Linked DNA regions of Drosophila melanogaster. The protein of the gene in region 4 interacts with the protein of the main gene of each other region in a pairwise test. Each region holds a gene or a part of one and is shown on either strand. Other genes may lie near its edges. The genes, in order: TwdlL, CG7139, TwdlB and CG17219.

The links.
Region 1: the proteins of CG17219 (region 4) and TwdlL interact in a two-hybrid assay, tested with the Drosophila melanogaster proteins (one large-scale study listed by BioGRID).
Region 2: the proteins of CG17219 (region 4) and CG7139 interact in a two-hybrid assay, tested with the Drosophila melanogaster proteins (one large-scale study listed by BioGRID).
Region 3: the proteins of CG17219 (region 4) and TwdlB interact in a two-hybrid assay, tested with the Drosophila melanogaster proteins (one large-scale study listed by BioGRID).

Annotation. Positions count from the first base shown.
Region 1 is NT_033777.3:26,624,087-26,627,595, reverse strand, and holds TwdlL (TweedleL), read left to right. Parts: upstream 1-1,943; 5' UTR 1,944-1,993; coding exon 1,994-2,008; exon of another isoform or gene 2,009-2,072; coding exon 2,073-2,915; 3' UTR 2,916-3,009; downstream 3,010-3,509. Other genes in the region: TwdlO (TweedleO), read left to right, coding at 899-1,588.
Region 2 is NT_037436.4:22,066,742-22,073,827, reverse strand, and holds CG7139 (uncharacterized protein), read left to right. Parts: upstream 1-1,979; 5' UTR 1,980-2,176; intron 2,177-2,272; 5' UTR 2,273-2,301; coding exon 2,302-3,060; intron 3,061-3,665; coding exon 3,666-4,452; intron 4,453-4,632; coding exon 4,633-5,923; intron 5,924-5,980; coding exon 5,981-6,053; 3' UTR 6,054-6,558; downstream 6,559-7,086. Other genes in the region: CG7133 (uncharacterized protein), read left to right, coding at 1-553.
Region 3 is NT_033777.3:26,621,890-26,625,058, reverse strand, and holds TwdlB (TweedleB), read left to right. Parts: upstream 1-1,515; 5' UTR 1,516-1,562; coding exon 1,563-1,577; intron 1,578-1,645; coding exon 1,646-2,491; 3' UTR 2,492-2,608; downstream 2,609-3,169. Other genes in the region: TwdlL (TweedleL), read left to right, coding at 1-378.
Region 4 is NT_033779.5:3,027,628-3,031,135, forward strand, and holds CG17219 (uncharacterized protein), read left to right. Parts: upstream 1-1,625; 5' UTR 1,626-1,671; intron 1,672-1,730; 5' UTR 1,731-1,792; coding exon 1,793-2,305; intron 2,306-2,357; coding exon 2,358-2,768; 3' UTR 2,769-2,989; downstream 2,990-3,508. Other genes in the region: Sf3b2 (splicing factor 3b subunit 2), read right to left, coding at 1-681, 739-1,379, 1,437-1,460; GABPI (beta4GalNAcTB pilot), read left to right, coding at 3,133-3,320, 3,373-3,508.

The DNA.
Region 1 (3,509 bases), on a different chromosome or scaffold from region 4:
TAACGTTAAAACCCTTCACTTTCATTCGCTTAGCTTAAGATGACAAAACACTATCAAACGATTATTTTGTATGGATTACAGAAAAGTATCAGCAGAACTTTTGATGATGATATCCTTCTATCCAAACACAGCATTTTTCATATTGTTTGATTGCTTGTACGTTCTTCTTCTCCGTTTAAATGAGATTTTAAACTGACTGGACGCAAATATTCTGGCTCTTATATACGGGACTTGTATGGAATTCCCAGACTATTTAAAACAGGTTTGCCCAGAGTTCAAAGCAAGCTTCCGACATTCTTTTTGACTTTGAACCTCAAACTAAAAAGTCACTTCAAATTCTAGACCCACTTTCGATAGCAAAAAAGGCGACAAACAGAAAGCAACAACAAACCATTAACTATCAATGGAGTTCGCATAGATTAAGATTTTATCGTTTCGTAGGCGGAACTCAAAGAATGCATCACATTGTGTTCGACTTTAATGACCATCAGAACATTTTTGGACGGGCTCTGACTTTTTTTTTGGAAACGGGTTTGATAGTTTTGCAGCATTTTCCCCAATCGAATTCCGGGCAGTTTTGCCCCGGTCAAGAATAAATCGCGGCGCCATGAACCGGTCGAGAATTTGGCTTTTGCAATTGGGCAGAAAGTCGGGGGTCGCCGACTGGATGTATTGGCGAGAATTTTAGGATAGTTTGCATAATCATTTCATAAGCGCACCGCTTTGCATAAAAAACTAGTTGAGTTATGTAGCAACCCGACGGGAATGGTGTCGGTTATAGTTCTAAGTCGGTTCTAACTACGCCAGATGGGTATATAAGCTGCTCACCTCAGTCTCAGGATTCAGTCTTGGCCTTTGCCTGTTAAGCACACCCAGCCTACAAAACCAAACCTTCACCATGCGTTTCCTCATCGCTTTCTGCCTGATTGGTGCCGCATGCGCCCAGTACAACTACGGAGCGGGATTTACCGGAGCCGCCTCCGATAATGTTCCCAGTTACTCCGGAAGCAGTGTTGGCGACTCCTACGATGGTGCTGCCAGCAGCCCGGACTACTCGGTCTCCAGCGAACTGAACAAGGAGTACTACACCTTCGAGGCTGACGAGAGCCAGTTCGAGGATCCTCTGGCCGCCCAGAAGATCGCCGGCTCCGTGAACAAGGGACTCCGCGTGGTCTTCATCAAGGGACCCGAAAACCGTGGCCTGGAGAACGCTGCTCTGGCCCTCGCCAAGCAGGCTGCCGAGCAGAGGACCGCCATCTATGTCTTGAACAAGCAGACCGACATTGGAGATCTGGCCCAGAAATTCAATGCCGCCCGCCAGAACTCCAACCAGCGTCCTGAGGTGCACTTCGTCAAGTACAGGACTCCCGAGGATGCGGCCAATGCCCAGCGTGCCATCCAGTCGCAGTACGATAACCTGGGAGGATCCAGCCAGTCCATCAACGGAGGAGTTGCCAACGCCATCAACTTCGCCTCCGCTGCCCCCGTGGTTCCCGCTCGTCGTGGCCCCAACTACTCCCCACCAGCCGCCGCCACGAGCAACTCCTACCTGCCCGCCAACATCCTGCGTCGCCTGCGCATCCGTTAAGGACCGAACGAAAACCGACAGTTGTTAAATGTGTTGTATAAATGTAATTGAATAAAAAACGAAAATCGATAAAAACAAATACGCTTAGATTTATATATCTATTTTTAATCTAGATCTTCGAAGTTTCTGACTTTGTCATCGGCCATTGCAATTTGTTTGTTTTTTAATAGCTTTTCCTTATAATAACATTTATGCAAAGCTGAATTGCTCTGCGAGCCCGAACAAAAGCCGTTCGCTGCCTACTTTGTAGGCGGACAAAACATTTAGCAGCATCAGCGCTTTGTCTTCGAAAAACTGCGCCGCCAGCTTCGAAGTTGGGTTAGTATATATAGTTACCGCCGCCGTGGTCATAGGCAGAAGCAATTTGTGCTCCGAACCAAGAGAACCTCAAACCCAAAACTAAAGATGCGCGCCTTCATCGTAAGTGGTGTAGCCAGGACTTAAGACGAATTCACAACTAACGGATAACCCTTGAATCCTGTAGGTAATGTGCCTGGTGGCAGTCGCCTGCGCCGATAAGCTCGGCTACAACTACCAGCCCGTGGGACACTCCAGCTCCGGACTGTCCTTTGCTCCTGGAAGTGGCAGCATTGGAGGTGGATCCATTGGAGGTGGTTCGATTGGAGGAGGCTCCATTGGAGGAGGATCCATTGGAGGAGGCCTCATTGGTGGTGGCTCTATCGGAGGCGGTTCCATTGGAGGTGGTTCCCTTGGTGGTTCCATCGGTGGTGGCTCTATTGATTCCGGTCTTGGCGGTCTTGGTGGACTCGGTGGTCTAGGAGGTGGCGACGCTCTGGCCGCTCCAGTCTCCTACAACGCCCCCGCTCCCGCTGCTGAGCTCCAGAAGGAGTTCTTCACCTACTCCGCCAACGAGCAGGACTTCGATGAGCCACAAGAACTGGAGCGTGTTGCTGGATCCGTAAACAAGGGACTGCGCGTTGTCTTCATCAAGGGACCCGAGAACCGTGGTCTGGAGAACGCTGCCCTAGCCCTCGCCAAGCAGGCTGCCCAGCAGGAGACCGCCATCTATGTCCTGAACAAGCAGGCCGATATTGGAGATCTTGCCCAGAAACTGAACGCCATCCGCAACAACAATAACAACAAGCCCGAGGTGCACTTCGTCAAGTACCGCACTCCCGAGGATGCTGCCAACGCCCAGCGCGCCATCCAGTCGCAGTACGACCAATTGGGAGGATCCTCTCAGGCCCACAACGGTGGTGTGGCACCCGCCCTGAACTTCGCCTCCGCTGGTCCCGTCCAGAAGGCTAATGCTCAGATCCCTGAGAACGCTTACCTGCCCACTTCCATCTTCCGTCGTCGTTTGTAAATATTTTAACGACTTCGAGATGAAGGCGTTGACTGTTCTTGTTAAATCTTATTGTTGAAATCTATTGATAAATAATATACAAAAATCTGAATACAAACATTCTATGATATTTTATATTGGATGGTGGTGTAGTAAACAATAGTGTATACCTTCCGATGACAACATGAGTGGAGTTACAAGTTGGGCTTTTAGAAAATTATTTCAGTCTTTGGTGAGATTTTTCGACCTGTTTTTATTGCACAAAAAGTTTGGTAATGACTTTTAATTTGAATTTATTCTTAAAAAGGTGCAACGCTATTAACTTAATACAAAGCAAAAGACCTTTAAAACTCATTAAGAATTTGGTAAGCTATATTACCCAAGGCAGCTTCCCGATGACCTTGACGTTTAATATTTGTCATAACCAAAATATTATCCTACGAAGTACTGGGAAAAGAATAAAATAAAATATTTCCGCATATTTTAAATGTAGGCAAAATGTTTTTACGACAAAAAAGTTAAATTAAATATAAACATATCGTTTTCACCACTCTCAAGTTAAATTTTTTATTTCATTAGTAATATATGCGAAAATAAAGAATCAATGAACTGGGG
Region 2 (7,086 bases), on a different chromosome or scaffold from region 4:
AATACTGGGACTCGGCAAACTGGCGCCATGGGCAAATACTCGAGTTTCTCCTAGGACTCTGAACGCGCCCTTTTCTTCGGCTGCCAAAGTCGTGGCCAAAACAGTAATCCGAGGCCAAAGAGCCGTAGGTTCTTCTGCAACTTCCAGTTCGTCCTTAGCATCGGCTGCGAACGTGGCTGTGAAATCCCTACCAAGCAAAGCTTCAGTGAATTCTGCTACGGAAACAGTCGCTAAAACACTTTCCCAGGGATCACGAGCTGGACCATATTCAGCTTTGAAAACAGTTTGGTCCTCAGCGGTTTCATATCTGCGCTCTCTTCTAAATTGGGCAACTACACCGAAATGGGGGAAGGCAACACCAGCAACCATTGCTGGTTTGGTTCATAACTCCAGACCAGTTTGGTCATCTGCAGCAAAAAATACCCTTGCTGCCTTGATGTATGCATGCTCCAAAATATCTTCGTATTTGCGCGCTTTGGCCGGGCGCTTTATTAGTCCCACCTTTAGACGCCTCCAAAGACTACAATCTTTTAAAGGAAGCTTGAAAAATTGAAAAATTCCATATCTGGTGACTCCGCTAAAAACGCGTAGAAGGCAACTCAGACAGAGCAGCTCCGCCTCAATCTAAAGGTATATCCTGAAACATGTTTTGCTTTTTTTAATCAAGAAGCATTAAAGAAATAGGGTTAAAATAGAATCGAATACGATATGGCATACACACAAAAAAAAATTCAAATAAATAAAATTTTTATACCTTCGGACTAAAATATTGTTTTCATACTCTGCATCGGATTTGGTTATGTATATACAGCTGTGTTCAATGAAATAGCAGTGCGAAATATGAAATACAGATATTTTTCCATGTCCCTTTTCGGTATCGACTATTTATTCCACTTATTTTTGAATATGTGCCCTGTCCAGTCAGGAACTTTGAAAGCTAGAATGTTAAGAATAATTATAGCGATTATAGAGACATAGACGCAGCGCAAGTTTGTTGACCCATGTTAACACGCCCAATAAACGCCCACAAGCCGCCCAAAACTGTCCAAATTGTTAAGATATTTTTTTCATTTTTTATTTGTCTATTATAATTATATTTTATTATATTATATTTTATTATTTTTATATTATATATATATACATATATATATATTATACATATTATTATATATATTATATTATTATATACATTATATTTTAATTTTTTCGTTTTATTGTGTGTCTTGTCAATTTCCATCTGTATCAAAAACACTTTTGCCACGTCCCTCTTTACACCAGCAAAACGCCCAAAACATTCCCACTTTTAAACAATTTTAAAAAATGTTCTTAAAATTAATGAAATTTGCACACTACTAACTGAGTAAATGGTATCTCAATAAAATATGATGGCAAATGTAGAAACGAAAGACGTATTTATTTTCTTTAAACAACAATATGTCCTTGGTGCGAAATAATATACAGATAACACGATTTATTTATCGATGTTTTTCCATACAAAGATAACACACATTTCCTCAATATCGATCGATATTCCAGAAAAATTATGAAATTCGCACACTACTAACTGAGTATCTTATAGTCGGGTAACTCGACTATAGCATTCTCCCTTCTCTTCTTCTGTTCACAATTCCATTTCTATGTTATCGGAAGAAAAACTATATTTTGCTGCGTAAGCGAAACTAGAATTCGGGTGTTTAGTACCCAATTAACAGCTCTCAAAGTTCCCGAGATATTGGATTTCGTACGGACGGACGTGATAACGACGTTATAATTTCATGTTATTTTATAACATTTATCATAATCATATTAAGAATCTTATTTATGTGCTTAACATAATGTTTTCATAGTATTAAAAAAAAAAATCCAAAAACTTAGCGATTTTATTCCGAAGCAATAGCTTGGCTTGAAAAAAGCTGGCCGCCAGCACTGCTGCTTATCGATGACGCGTGACCATAGCCTCCTCCATCGATAGCCTCCGCACAGACGTGGTTTTCCCAACTTGCAATGCAGCGAATTAACGGATGTAATGCGACGCATAGCTTCCCGATTTCTGGAAACAAGCAAACGAAGTTGCAGCCCGCAGGTTGATCCTTGCATGACAACCGATTGAATGAGAGAGATTGAGACATCAACGCGCAGTTACGACATCGGGGGATTACAGTCTGGTCAGATATTGGTGAGTCCGAGATTCAGATGCGAATTGGGTGATGGGGTGTCTGTGGTTACTGCGCATTACGTTGGTCGATCCCCCCTAAACGATCTGCTTTCACAGGGCAAGCTAGCAAAAGGAAAACAAACGCCATGTCGACAGAGCGAAGCTCGCATTCAGCTGAACCAGCGGATTTGGCGCTTTTGTTGGACCGCATCAACATCAACAACAACAATAATAATAATAAGAATAATAATAATAATAATAACAACAACAACAACAACAATAATAATAATGACAATAACAATTGCGGTCGCAGCAAGAGCGGTGGAACTCACAGGAAATATGCAACTGCTGAAGCCCCAAGCTCCATTAGAATGTGCCCCGCCAGCAATCTGAACAGCAACCAAAGCAACAAACAATTTAACTCGATTTGCCAGCGGGCGCAGGCGGGCCATAAGCTGATGATCATAATGCGCGGCCCTTCAGGCAGCGGTAAGAGTACACTGGCAGAGTCTCTGCTGCGCCAGGCGCATCTACTCGATCGACACCAGGTGCGCGACTTTGTCCTGAGCTCAGACGACTACTTCAAGACGCGCCGCGGCTATGTCTTCAACCCCACTCTGCTGCCAGCTGCCCACGAGTGGAACCAGCAGCGAGTGCGCGATAAGGCCGCCTCCGGCTGGAGCCCCATCATCGTGGATAACACCAATACAATGGTCTGGGAGATGCAGCCATATGTCCAGTTCGCCGTGCGCCACGGTTACGTAATTGAGCTTCTCGAGCCCAATACTAGTTGGTGCAAGTCTGCCAGCAAACTGGCCCAGAAAAACGTCCACAACGTCCCACGGGAGAATATTCAGCGCATGCTAGAGCGATTCGAGCGGACGACTGCGGGAGAGCTCATTCAGGTAAGAAGGCACTTTAAATCGTCTATATACATACATATGTATATAAAGATAGAGATTTATTGTTAACTGCAATCTCATTGTGAGTCAGCCAAAAATGTGTAATTGTATACCCGTTACGCGAGTGTAAAACGTTTAACTAAGCTCGATAAAAAATCTTTAAGAGGTATATATTTATTCTTAATCATTATCACTGACCAATTCAATTTTGCTTCTTTGCATTTCATTATTTTTCCGGCGAACTTCCTTTGAATTGCGAAAAACATTCAGACCACCTGCAGAAACATAGTAGAGGCCTTTTTTGTTGGCTACTTAATTTTTTAGGGCATACCATGGTCAGTCAGAAAGTCGCTGGCAATCTGAGAAACAGTCGCTTTTTTGTAGCTGAGAGAAGACGGGTATCGAATATCCGAGGATCGGAATGTGGCAGTCTAGCCACATACACATACAATTTGAGGCAACTAGCTCGTTTTCATTTTTTATTGGTAAATTTTTGGTATATTACGTTCTTGGTTGTATTTTATTTTCTACCCCGAAGCTTATTAAGTAATGGCACTTACTATAGTTTGTATCTTTCACATCCTCTACCGGAATATTTTATGCGACAGTTAATGAAGGAGACAAAGTATTCTGTGGAGCTGCCGCAACTACGCAATCACCCGCCCCTTCCTGCCGTGCCTATCATCACGAGCTTTGAAGAGAGCAAGCTGCTGGAAGCCCCAGTCCCAGCGCCAGCGGAAAATGCCTTTAAGCTGAATGCTAATGCCCAAACGTGGGTGCCCTACGAGCACGGAGCGCCTTCATACTGGTCGCAAACAGTGAACTCAGTAGACACAGGCGACGCGACAGTTCCGGAAATTCCGGATGCTTTGGGTGCCGCAGCTCCCGTAAAGAGCGAATTGTCTATTATTGATCTGCTCCGCGAAGAGAACCAAATAAAGGTGGTGCCGTCGAAAGCGGAGTCTAGCGGGGCAAAGCCTCTTGAGATGCACAGCCTAGACTGCCCAAATGAACCGAAAGGGTTTGCACACCTGCGCCAGATGTATCCCAACAAACAGCTGGCCGGCCTCTGGGATCTGTTTGTAAAGTGCCAGGCCGACGTGGATTGGGCCGTTGATATTCTATTAAAGGAGGACGAGCTCAACGCGGCCACTGGTTCGGATCAAATCGGATTTGAAGAAACTATCGATAGCGAGGAGGCGGCGCAGTTTCAATGCGACTGCGACAAGGCGGTTGAAGCCCAGGAATCTCCGATTTCAACTCCCATCTGCGCCTCACCAACTTTACCAGTATCGAAGACCGAATCCAAGCCGCAACGTCAACCGCGCAACAAACGAGCATCGGCCCCCACCAACAAAGAGTTGCAACTGAAAATCCAGAATTGCTTTGTGTTAGGTAAGATATTGTTCTAATAGGAGTCAATTAAAAATAAACTTATTATTTATATTGCGTTAACACTCACGGCACTAATGAATTTAATGTATTTCCATTATATTATGTTAGAGATTCGAGTTCGATATCTGATGCTAACTAATATTAAATAACTAATAATAACTAATGATTATTGATTTTTAGGCGACGAACAATACTCGGAGCACACCCGTAAAATTCGCGATATTCGCAATGGAATCCTGGATCAACCTACAGTGCCTAAGCTACTGGAAGCACCCGAGGAACCAGAGCTTGAAGAGCAGGAGGAGGAGGAGGACCCTGAAGAAAATACTCTGCTGGAAATTGATTTGGGCGGCACTTTAATTGAGCAGCTGCGCGCTCAGTTCCACACGGAGGACGAGTTGTTGCCGCCGGAACAGGAGCTTCCCACCGCAACAAAAATATTTATGCCGCGTCAGCTAGCCAAGCAGCTTTACATGTTATGGATGGAAGCTGTGTTTAACCAGCTAGAGGAGATACGCCAGCAGACAATGCGCGATGACGAGCAGTTCGCCCGCCTGCTCAAGCATCCAGGTTACGCCGATTGCAGCGAGTCTCCGAGCAACGTGGCTGAGCTTTTGGATATGGAGTTGGCCTGGAGCATATACAATAGCGAGCAGCTGGCCGCCAAGAAGGCAGCCGAGTTGACCGCTCGCAAACAAACGCCCACCGATATAGCTACCCACCTAACCAAGATGAAGCTGTGCGAGACGTTCCCGGACGTTCCTACCGACACTGTGCTTGAGGTCTTTGCCGCAACCGGCAGCAATTACGTTCAAACAGTCGAGGTCTTGGACAGCAACGTTAAGAGTATGCTGAGCAAAGCGGAACTCTATGATAAGGCCCTTCGCGAGGGCGAAAAGCTTAGTGAGCAAATGGCGCTGGAAGAGCGGCGGCAGCAGCAGCAACAAAAGCAACATAACTCCTCCGGCCAAGGCCAGCGCTCCAGCTCCAGTTCGTACGCCTCTGGCCGGTCGCCCCAACTGCAAGAGGAGGTCAAGTGCGCCGCTCTTCGCGACTTTGAAGAGACGCGAAACATGGCCGCCCATCACTCCCAACTTAAAGCAGAGTGCTATCTAAAGGCCAAACAGGCGGTACAGCGCGGCAATAGTAGCGTGGCGTTATACTACTCGGAGATAGCCAAGTTACACAAGCAGAAGATCGACGTATTCAACCAGAGGGCGGCCAATTGCATAATGGAGGTGCATCGGCACACCCAGAACAACCCGGACCTGCTAGACCTGCATTACCTACACACGGTAGAGGCGATCAGTTGCCTGGACTTGTTCCTTGACCGCCACATAACTGTGCTGCGCAACACCACCCGCGTGTACAAGCACGTATTCATTATCACGGGCCGTGGTCTTCACAGCGCAAACGGAGTGTCCACCATTAAGAACAGGGTGAAGGCCAGGCTGGGCGAACGCCGTTTGCGGTTAGTAAGGGGCATATTTCGTTAAAAGTCGTCTAATTATTCACCAACCTATTTCAGATGGCAAGAAGTTAATCCAGGGTTGCTGCGCGTCAAGGTGTTTTCAGCATCGCGTCATTCAAAGAACTTCTGATTGGATGCGAATCGCACGACAGGACTTGCTGGACAAAATGCGTTTCACACTGCCATATAGAAAAAAAGCAAGTGTTATTTAACTTTTGTAATTGCCTACAAAATTGTAAAGTTAAGTAATCATTTTCCCCTGTCCTGGTCGCTGTTTTACTTTCGAATGTGTTCTATAACCTATGAAACATTCCCGATTTTATTACTCTATATTACTTTCAATGCTCGTCCCAATTATTTTTAAGTTTGAATAATGCTTCCAGCGTAGAGTTTGTGTACGACGCGAATTCGCAATGCGACTCAGGAAAGTAGTGATTTAGTATCTTCCAATAATATACCTAATCACAGAATTACTTATTTTTATACTAGTTTACTCAATGTACTACCTAGGTACAATAGGATTAGTGTAAAAATAGTAGTCCTAAGGTACACGAGGTCCAAAAATTACCATTACATTTCAGATTAATAAGCAAATATTGACATTTTCTTTATAAATAAATCGAAACGTGAGAAGGATATTATTCAGACAAGTTTTTAAACGAACATCGTAGTACGATATTTTATTTTTCAAACTGTTACATCGAACATTCTACAATATGTTGTAAACATACTGGCTTCGAAAATCAATTTGTACTACAAATTACGTAGTAGCAATGTATGCCTAGATCCGTCAATTAGCCATCGAACTTTCCAGTGTTTACAATAGTGGTTGGTTTAGTTCTAGGTACCGCTGATCAGTCTGTTCTATGAGCAATATAAACCTTCCTTCTGCCTACCTGGACCATCTGCCCGGCAGGGAAGAGCATAACCTTGGTTTAATGTTTGAAACATGGAAAGACGACAATCTTTATTTACCACTACAAAATCTTTTAGCCTGACATCGGAAAACGCGTGACACGAAGCTTAGGTAAACTGAAGGATCAGCCGAGGATACACATCTGGGTGTACACCTGCTGACCGCTGGGTGTGAACAATACATTCAGGTAAATGGTAACTTATTCTAGAACATCGATGGCAGTCTGAGCGAGGGCTCCATGGCTTTG
Region 3 (3,169 bases), on a different chromosome or scaffold from region 4:
AAGGGACCCGAGAACCGTGGTCTGGAGAACGCTGCCCTAGCCCTCGCCAAGCAGGCTGCCCAGCAGGAGACCGCCATCTATGTCCTGAACAAGCAGGCCGATATTGGAGATCTTGCCCAGAAACTGAACGCCATCCGCAACAACAATAACAACAAGCCCGAGGTGCACTTCGTCAAGTACCGCACTCCCGAGGATGCTGCCAACGCCCAGCGCGCCATCCAGTCGCAGTACGACCAATTGGGAGGATCCTCTCAGGCCCACAACGGTGGTGTGGCACCCGCCCTGAACTTCGCCTCCGCTGGTCCCGTCCAGAAGGCTAATGCTCAGATCCCTGAGAACGCTTACCTGCCCACTTCCATCTTCCGTCGTCGTTTGTAAATATTTTAACGACTTCGAGATGAAGGCGTTGACTGTTCTTGTTAAATCTTATTGTTGAAATCTATTGATAAATAATATACAAAAATCTGAATACAAACATTCTATGATATTTTATATTGGATGGTGGTGTAGTAAACAATAGTGTATACCTTCCGATGACAACATGAGTGGAGTTACAAGTTGGGCTTTTAGAAAATTATTTCAGTCTTTGGTGAGATTTTTCGACCTGTTTTTATTGCACAAAAAGTTTGGTAATGACTTTTAATTTGAATTTATTCTTAAAAAGGTGCAACGCTATTAACTTAATACAAAGCAAAAGACCTTTAAAACTCATTAAGAATTTGGTAAGCTATATTACCCAAGGCAGCTTCCCGATGACCTTGACGTTTAATATTTGTCATAACCAAAATATTATCCTACGAAGTACTGGGAAAAGAATAAAATAAAATATTTCCGCATATTTTAAATGTAGGCAAAATGTTTTTACGACAAAAAAGTTAAATTAAATATAAACATATCGTTTTCACCACTCTCAAGTTAAATTTTTTATTTCATTAGTAATATATGCGAAAATAAAGAATCAATGAACTGGGGGCGGCATTTCAAACATCTCATTAGACGACTTGCTAAATTTAGCGCTTGCATCATGTCCATAAATCAGAACTAAACAGATGTGTCGAAAACGATTATAATGACTAAACGATTGTCATTCAGTCGGAAAAACCAAGTGCAGATGTCCTACATAAAACAAGCTTTTAGCCTTGCCGAAGAATTTGTCAAAAAAATGTATTTTATATAATACTCGTACCTAATTATGACCCATCTGCATGTTAAACTCATTCCGACGTGCTCGCGACATATTAATTTTATAATTCAATATGAATTCTTGTAAACTATTGGACGAAACTCGAAATATTTGAATAACCCACGACGGCCAGACTCTGCCCATTGAAACGCAACCAAAAAATTCCACACCGAACATTAAAAAAAACAGAGGAAGCAAAAACCTTTGTAGGCGGCAAAACACAGTGGCTTCAAAGAAATCTCCGTGCAGCAGACGCCGCGGCGGTATCTTTGTCTTTATCAGCCTCCAAGATGGATTTGTATAAATAATAAAGATCGCTCCTAGCCAGAGACACAAGCAACTCATACCTCAAAGCAAAAGAACCAGCAATCTGCTTAAGATGCGCGCATTCATTGTAAGTAGCGCGGTTAAGGATTCAAAGGATTATACGCCAGGATAACACTTCTCTTTTCATGCCTCCAGGTCCTGTGTTTGGTGGCAGTCACCTGCGCCGATAAGCTCGGCTACAACTACCAGCCCGTTGGCCACTCCAGCTCCGGACTGTCCTTCGCTCCTGGCAGCGGCTCTATCAGTGGTGGATCTATTGGAGGAGGCTCCATCGGAGGAGGTTCTATTGGAGGAGGCTCTATTGGAGGAGGCCTCATTGGTGGTGGCTCTATCGGAGGAGGAAGCATCGGAGGTGGATCCCTTGGTGGTTCCATCGGTGGTGGCTCCATCGATTCCGGTCTTGGCGGTCTTGGTGGACTCGGTGGTCTAGGAGGTGGCGACGCTCTGGCCGCTCCAGTCTCCTACAACGCCCCCGCTCCCGCTGCTGAGCTCCAGAAGGAATTCTTCACCTACTCCGCCAACGAGCAGGACTTCGATGAGCCACAAGAACTGGAGCGTGTTGCTGGATCCGTAAACAAGGGACTGCGCGTTGTCTTCATCAAGGGACCCGAGAACCGTGGTCTGGAGAACGCTGCCCTGGCCCTCGCCAAGCAGGCTGCCCAGCAGGAGACCGCCATCTATGTCCTGAACAAGCAGGCTGATATTGGAGATCTTGCCCAGAAACTGAACGCCATCCGCAACAACAACAACAACAAGCCCGAGGTGCACTTCGTCAAGTACCGCACTCCCGAGGATGCTGCCAACGCCCAGCGCGCCATCCAGGGTCAGTACGACCAGCTGGGAGGATCCTCTCAGGCTCATGATGGTGGTGTTGCACCCGCCCTGAACTTCGCCTCCGCTGGACCCGTCCAGAAGGCTAACGCCCAGATCCCCGACAACGCCTACCTGCCCACTTCTGTGTTCCGTCGTCTGCGTTTCTAGGAAGGCTACATCTTGGACTCCATTAACTTAAGCAAATCTCGACTGAAGAACTCATTCTTCCTGTTACACGTTGTTGACTAATGCATAATTACACCAATAAATTTGAAATTTAAATACGAAAATTTAAACAAAGGTCTACCTTATGTGTTTTATAGAGTGAGATTTTTATTGCGGCTTGGCCATAGTAGCTAATGGTGCATTAAGTCCGCCTTGTTTGGCTTGATTGTTTGCGGATGGGTTAAGTATAAAAAGTGCCCTTCAAACTATAAATATCTCGAATTGACGACATCAAGATCAGGAAAGGCAGTTCGGAGCAGGTTTCCTTTATGAGTTTAAGCCCTCGTCGAATCATATTCACCTAGACTTTCCATACAAATCAATGGACTAATTATCTGACATAGCCAACTCGCATGCCGCCAAATTAATTGACTACAAGATTAGATCCACCCACTTGGCCAGCGGGAAGCATTAATACCGGACTCCCGGCCAACGAGGAACTGGTTCTTTCCCGACGACAGCTCAAGGTCGCGAAGATGCCAACAACTGTTAGATGACCTGGTTTCCGAGGCCCGTCGTGTGTCACGTACAATTAGAAAGGAATCTCAAGTGCAACCCACATACGAAGGCAATGAAGATTTATGCCCAATCGAAACCTGATTAGCCATAAAAACAAAGTCT
Region 4 (3,508 bases):
GTCTCAAACTCCTTGCCCTCGTAGTAGAGGTCGCCATGAATGGTCATGCGGGGCTTGGTCTGCCACTTGAAGAAGGCATCGTGAAGTTTCTGGTAGTCAATGTCAATTTTGCCCATCTTGGGACGGACGCGTTCACGCATCTTGGCCTTGAGTGTCTTGGCGTCCTCTCGTTCCTGCAACGATTCGCGCATCTCCATGATGCCCGTCTTTTTGATGAAGGCGGGGAGATCGAACGGAGGCTTCTCAATACCCCTTTTGCCCTGCAGATATTTTCGCTTGAAGCACCAATGCCGCGGCACTTGTACTGTGTTCCTATAGGCTTTCAGTTGAACCAGTAGTTTGGGATCTCTCGCTGTGACATCGTGCATCTCCACTACGTCAGGTCGAGAGACCAGTTGTTTCAGTTCTGCCACACTCAAACGGGTCAGTTTCTTAAGTTTCCGCTTGGACAGCTTCTCCTTGTCTTCCTTGCGCTCTTCGTCATCATCGCCGTCATCGTCCTCGTCCTCGAGCTGTTTGTCTGTAGCCTTTTTGTCCCTGGGATGGGACTCAGAATCGTGCGAAGATTTGTCCTTCTCCACAGGCTTTGGTTTGTTTTCCAGCTTGAAGATTTCGAACACACGATAAAACTGGCGGTACATTGGCGCCAAATCGGCAATGGTTATCTTTTCGGGCACATATCTGAAAGGGATAAGAGTTTATTAGTGTGGTTCCTCGGAACGAGCTGCTATGACTTACTCAATGGTCACATTTTCATCATTGGCCTCGCCAGCCTTTTTGTCCGTATCTTTCTCATCACTACGATCCTTCCTGCGCTTGCTGCGACTCTCTTTGCGTTTGTCCTTCTTTTCCTTTTCGGCAACCTGTTCGTCCTCGCTGCCATGGGCTTTTGTCTCCGAGTCCTTGGCCTCCGGTTCGTTCTCCTCCGCTTGGGCCAACTGCTGCTGCCGTGCGAACTCAATCTGGTGGCGTATCTTCCTGTTCTGCTTCTTTCGCTTCTTCTTCTTTTTGTTACGCTCCGCCTTGCTCTGCTTGCCGGTCTTTTGGCTGGCACTCCCGTTCACCTGGTTATCCGCATCCTCCTCGCTGTCCTCGCCCACATCCGCTTCGTCGCCGTCCTGGGTAGCACCCCCACTGCCACCCTGCGAATCGGCGTCCACCGTGAACTCGGCTGCCCTTTGATCCTTCAAAGCCAGAACGTCCTCCAAGGCCTTGGGCAGGACCAGTTCTCCGGGCGTTTTTTCGGCATCAACAGCATCTTCGGAGGCATCGCCGTCGCCATTGGCATTACCATTGCCGTTCTCATTTCCATTGGCCGCCGCACTTTCGTGCTGCTGCTGGTCGAAGCGAATGGACATGAGCGGCGTGGGTTGGCCGGGCTGGAAGGATTGGCATTCAATAGATGTCTTGCCGATTGGGTTTCGCAGCAAACTCACCTCGTTGTTCAACTGGTCCGCCATAAATTAAATTAATCTTTAAAAACCCAAACCGAGCCGAAATTTTTTTATAAACCACAATTCTAGTGATGCGCGACAAGATATTTTTGTACCACCGAGACATATCGATATATTCGATATGAAAATGCGAGACCCTAAATCAAGCTGGCAACGCAAAGGACAGGGCGATCTTAGTACGAAAAGCGTGGTTTTTGCCGACAGCTGATTTAAGGAGGTAAATATTAAAATATTTCATAGATTACCAGTTTAACAATGCTAATTTGTCCATTTCAGTACGATATTTAACAAGCAGTATCTGCTAAAATCAAAACAGTTCAACACCCTACCTTCTAAGCATGTTCAAATTTAATTTTGATGTGAAGGCGGAATCCTCGGAAGATCCAGAGGCCGTTAAAAATGATATTTTTAGCAAGCAGGAAAATTCAGAAGAACGTGAGTCGGGTATCACAAAGGATATAGATTGGTACAATTCGGAGAAAGTACAACCACTGGATAACCTAATTTCGGCAATGGATTTCTATGAGCTTAACGCCAAGGAAATGGAGGTGGGAAAGATGACGATAAAACATCTTGTGGCCGGGTTTCTGCTGGAGGATTTAAAGGAGCAATCCCACTTGGTAAACCTGGATCTCAGGAAGTCTGAGGAAAATCATTCAGATCTGATTTCCGGTGTCTACGAGGGCGGTGCTAAAATATGGGAATGCACTGAAGATCTTCTACTATATCTATCCGAAAAGTACGAGGACTCATTCTGGAAGGAGAAAAGAGTCCTAGATTTGGGATGTGGCTGCGGATTGCTGGGTATATATGCTATGAAACACGGCGCACGGGTGGATTTTCAGGACTACGTAAGCAAACAATAAGTCTTGAAATAGTTTGGTTGCAATCATATATTTTCAGAACAAAGATGTGCTGGAATACATAACATATCCAAATATCCTGCTAAATTTGGACGACTCTTTATCTGAAGATGAAAAGCTGAAATTTTTAGACAACAGTACAACCTTATATTCTGGAGATTGGTCTCATTTTGCTGAACTATCAAGGGATGTGGCGAAATACGATCTAATACTTACCTCTGAGACTATATACAATATTGCAAATCAGCAAAAGCTCTTGGATACCTTTGCTGGTCGCTTAAAATCCGATGGAGTCATTTTGGTTGCCGCAAAATCTCATTATTTTGGAGTTGGTGGCGGCCTGGAACAGTTTTCAGAGAACATTAGGCTGGGAAATGTTTTCCAAAGTGAGAGTGTTTGGCAGGCAGACGAAAACTTAAAAAGAGGAATCTTGCAATTGAAATTTAAATAAAATATATTTTGGAATTATTTATAACACAATTCTTAAACTTTGTAATAATGATAAGAGATCTAAGTTCAAAACATAGCGGTAGCATAAAACAAGTTGGCAGCCCACTTTACACGGGGCACCCTGTAAGGGAGGGACGTTCGTCAGCTGTGTTGTTGTAGTTGTCGTTATTCCGGAGAAATTGTAAGCAAATTCGTTGTACTCCAATAAAACAATTAAAATGGACCCACCCGGATCTGATAATTACTTTTGAAACATTTCTCCACTCGGCCAGTAGGGCGTGCACTAATCTAATCTAAACTGTTTCCGTACACGCTGCTCGGAACTCATTAAAAAACGTTCGCCGCGCCATTTCCTGTCCAAATCGATGTTCTTGATGACAGCCGGCACCTCCAATTTTCTTTCTGCAGCCTGGAGATCAGAGGCTGAGGAGTCCAAGAGTAAGGAGAACGGGAGTCTCTGCTGCTGCGAGTACGTGGCTGAGGACAGTCGAGAGCGATCCCACATCCTAGGATGCTGTTGTAACTGCGTGGACTTCGACTTAGTTTGCACAAGGTAGGATACATAAATGAAAGGCCGTCTACAATTAAAATTAAATTTACCACAGACTTGTCACCTGCCGAGCCATTGATCGAAGGAACATCGACGGCATGCTCATCGCCTTCCAGGATAGACTGCGCTTGCCATGGCGCGGAGGAGCCAAGCGAATCTCGCCCGCAGCCGTTGCTCCCGCCTTCATTGTC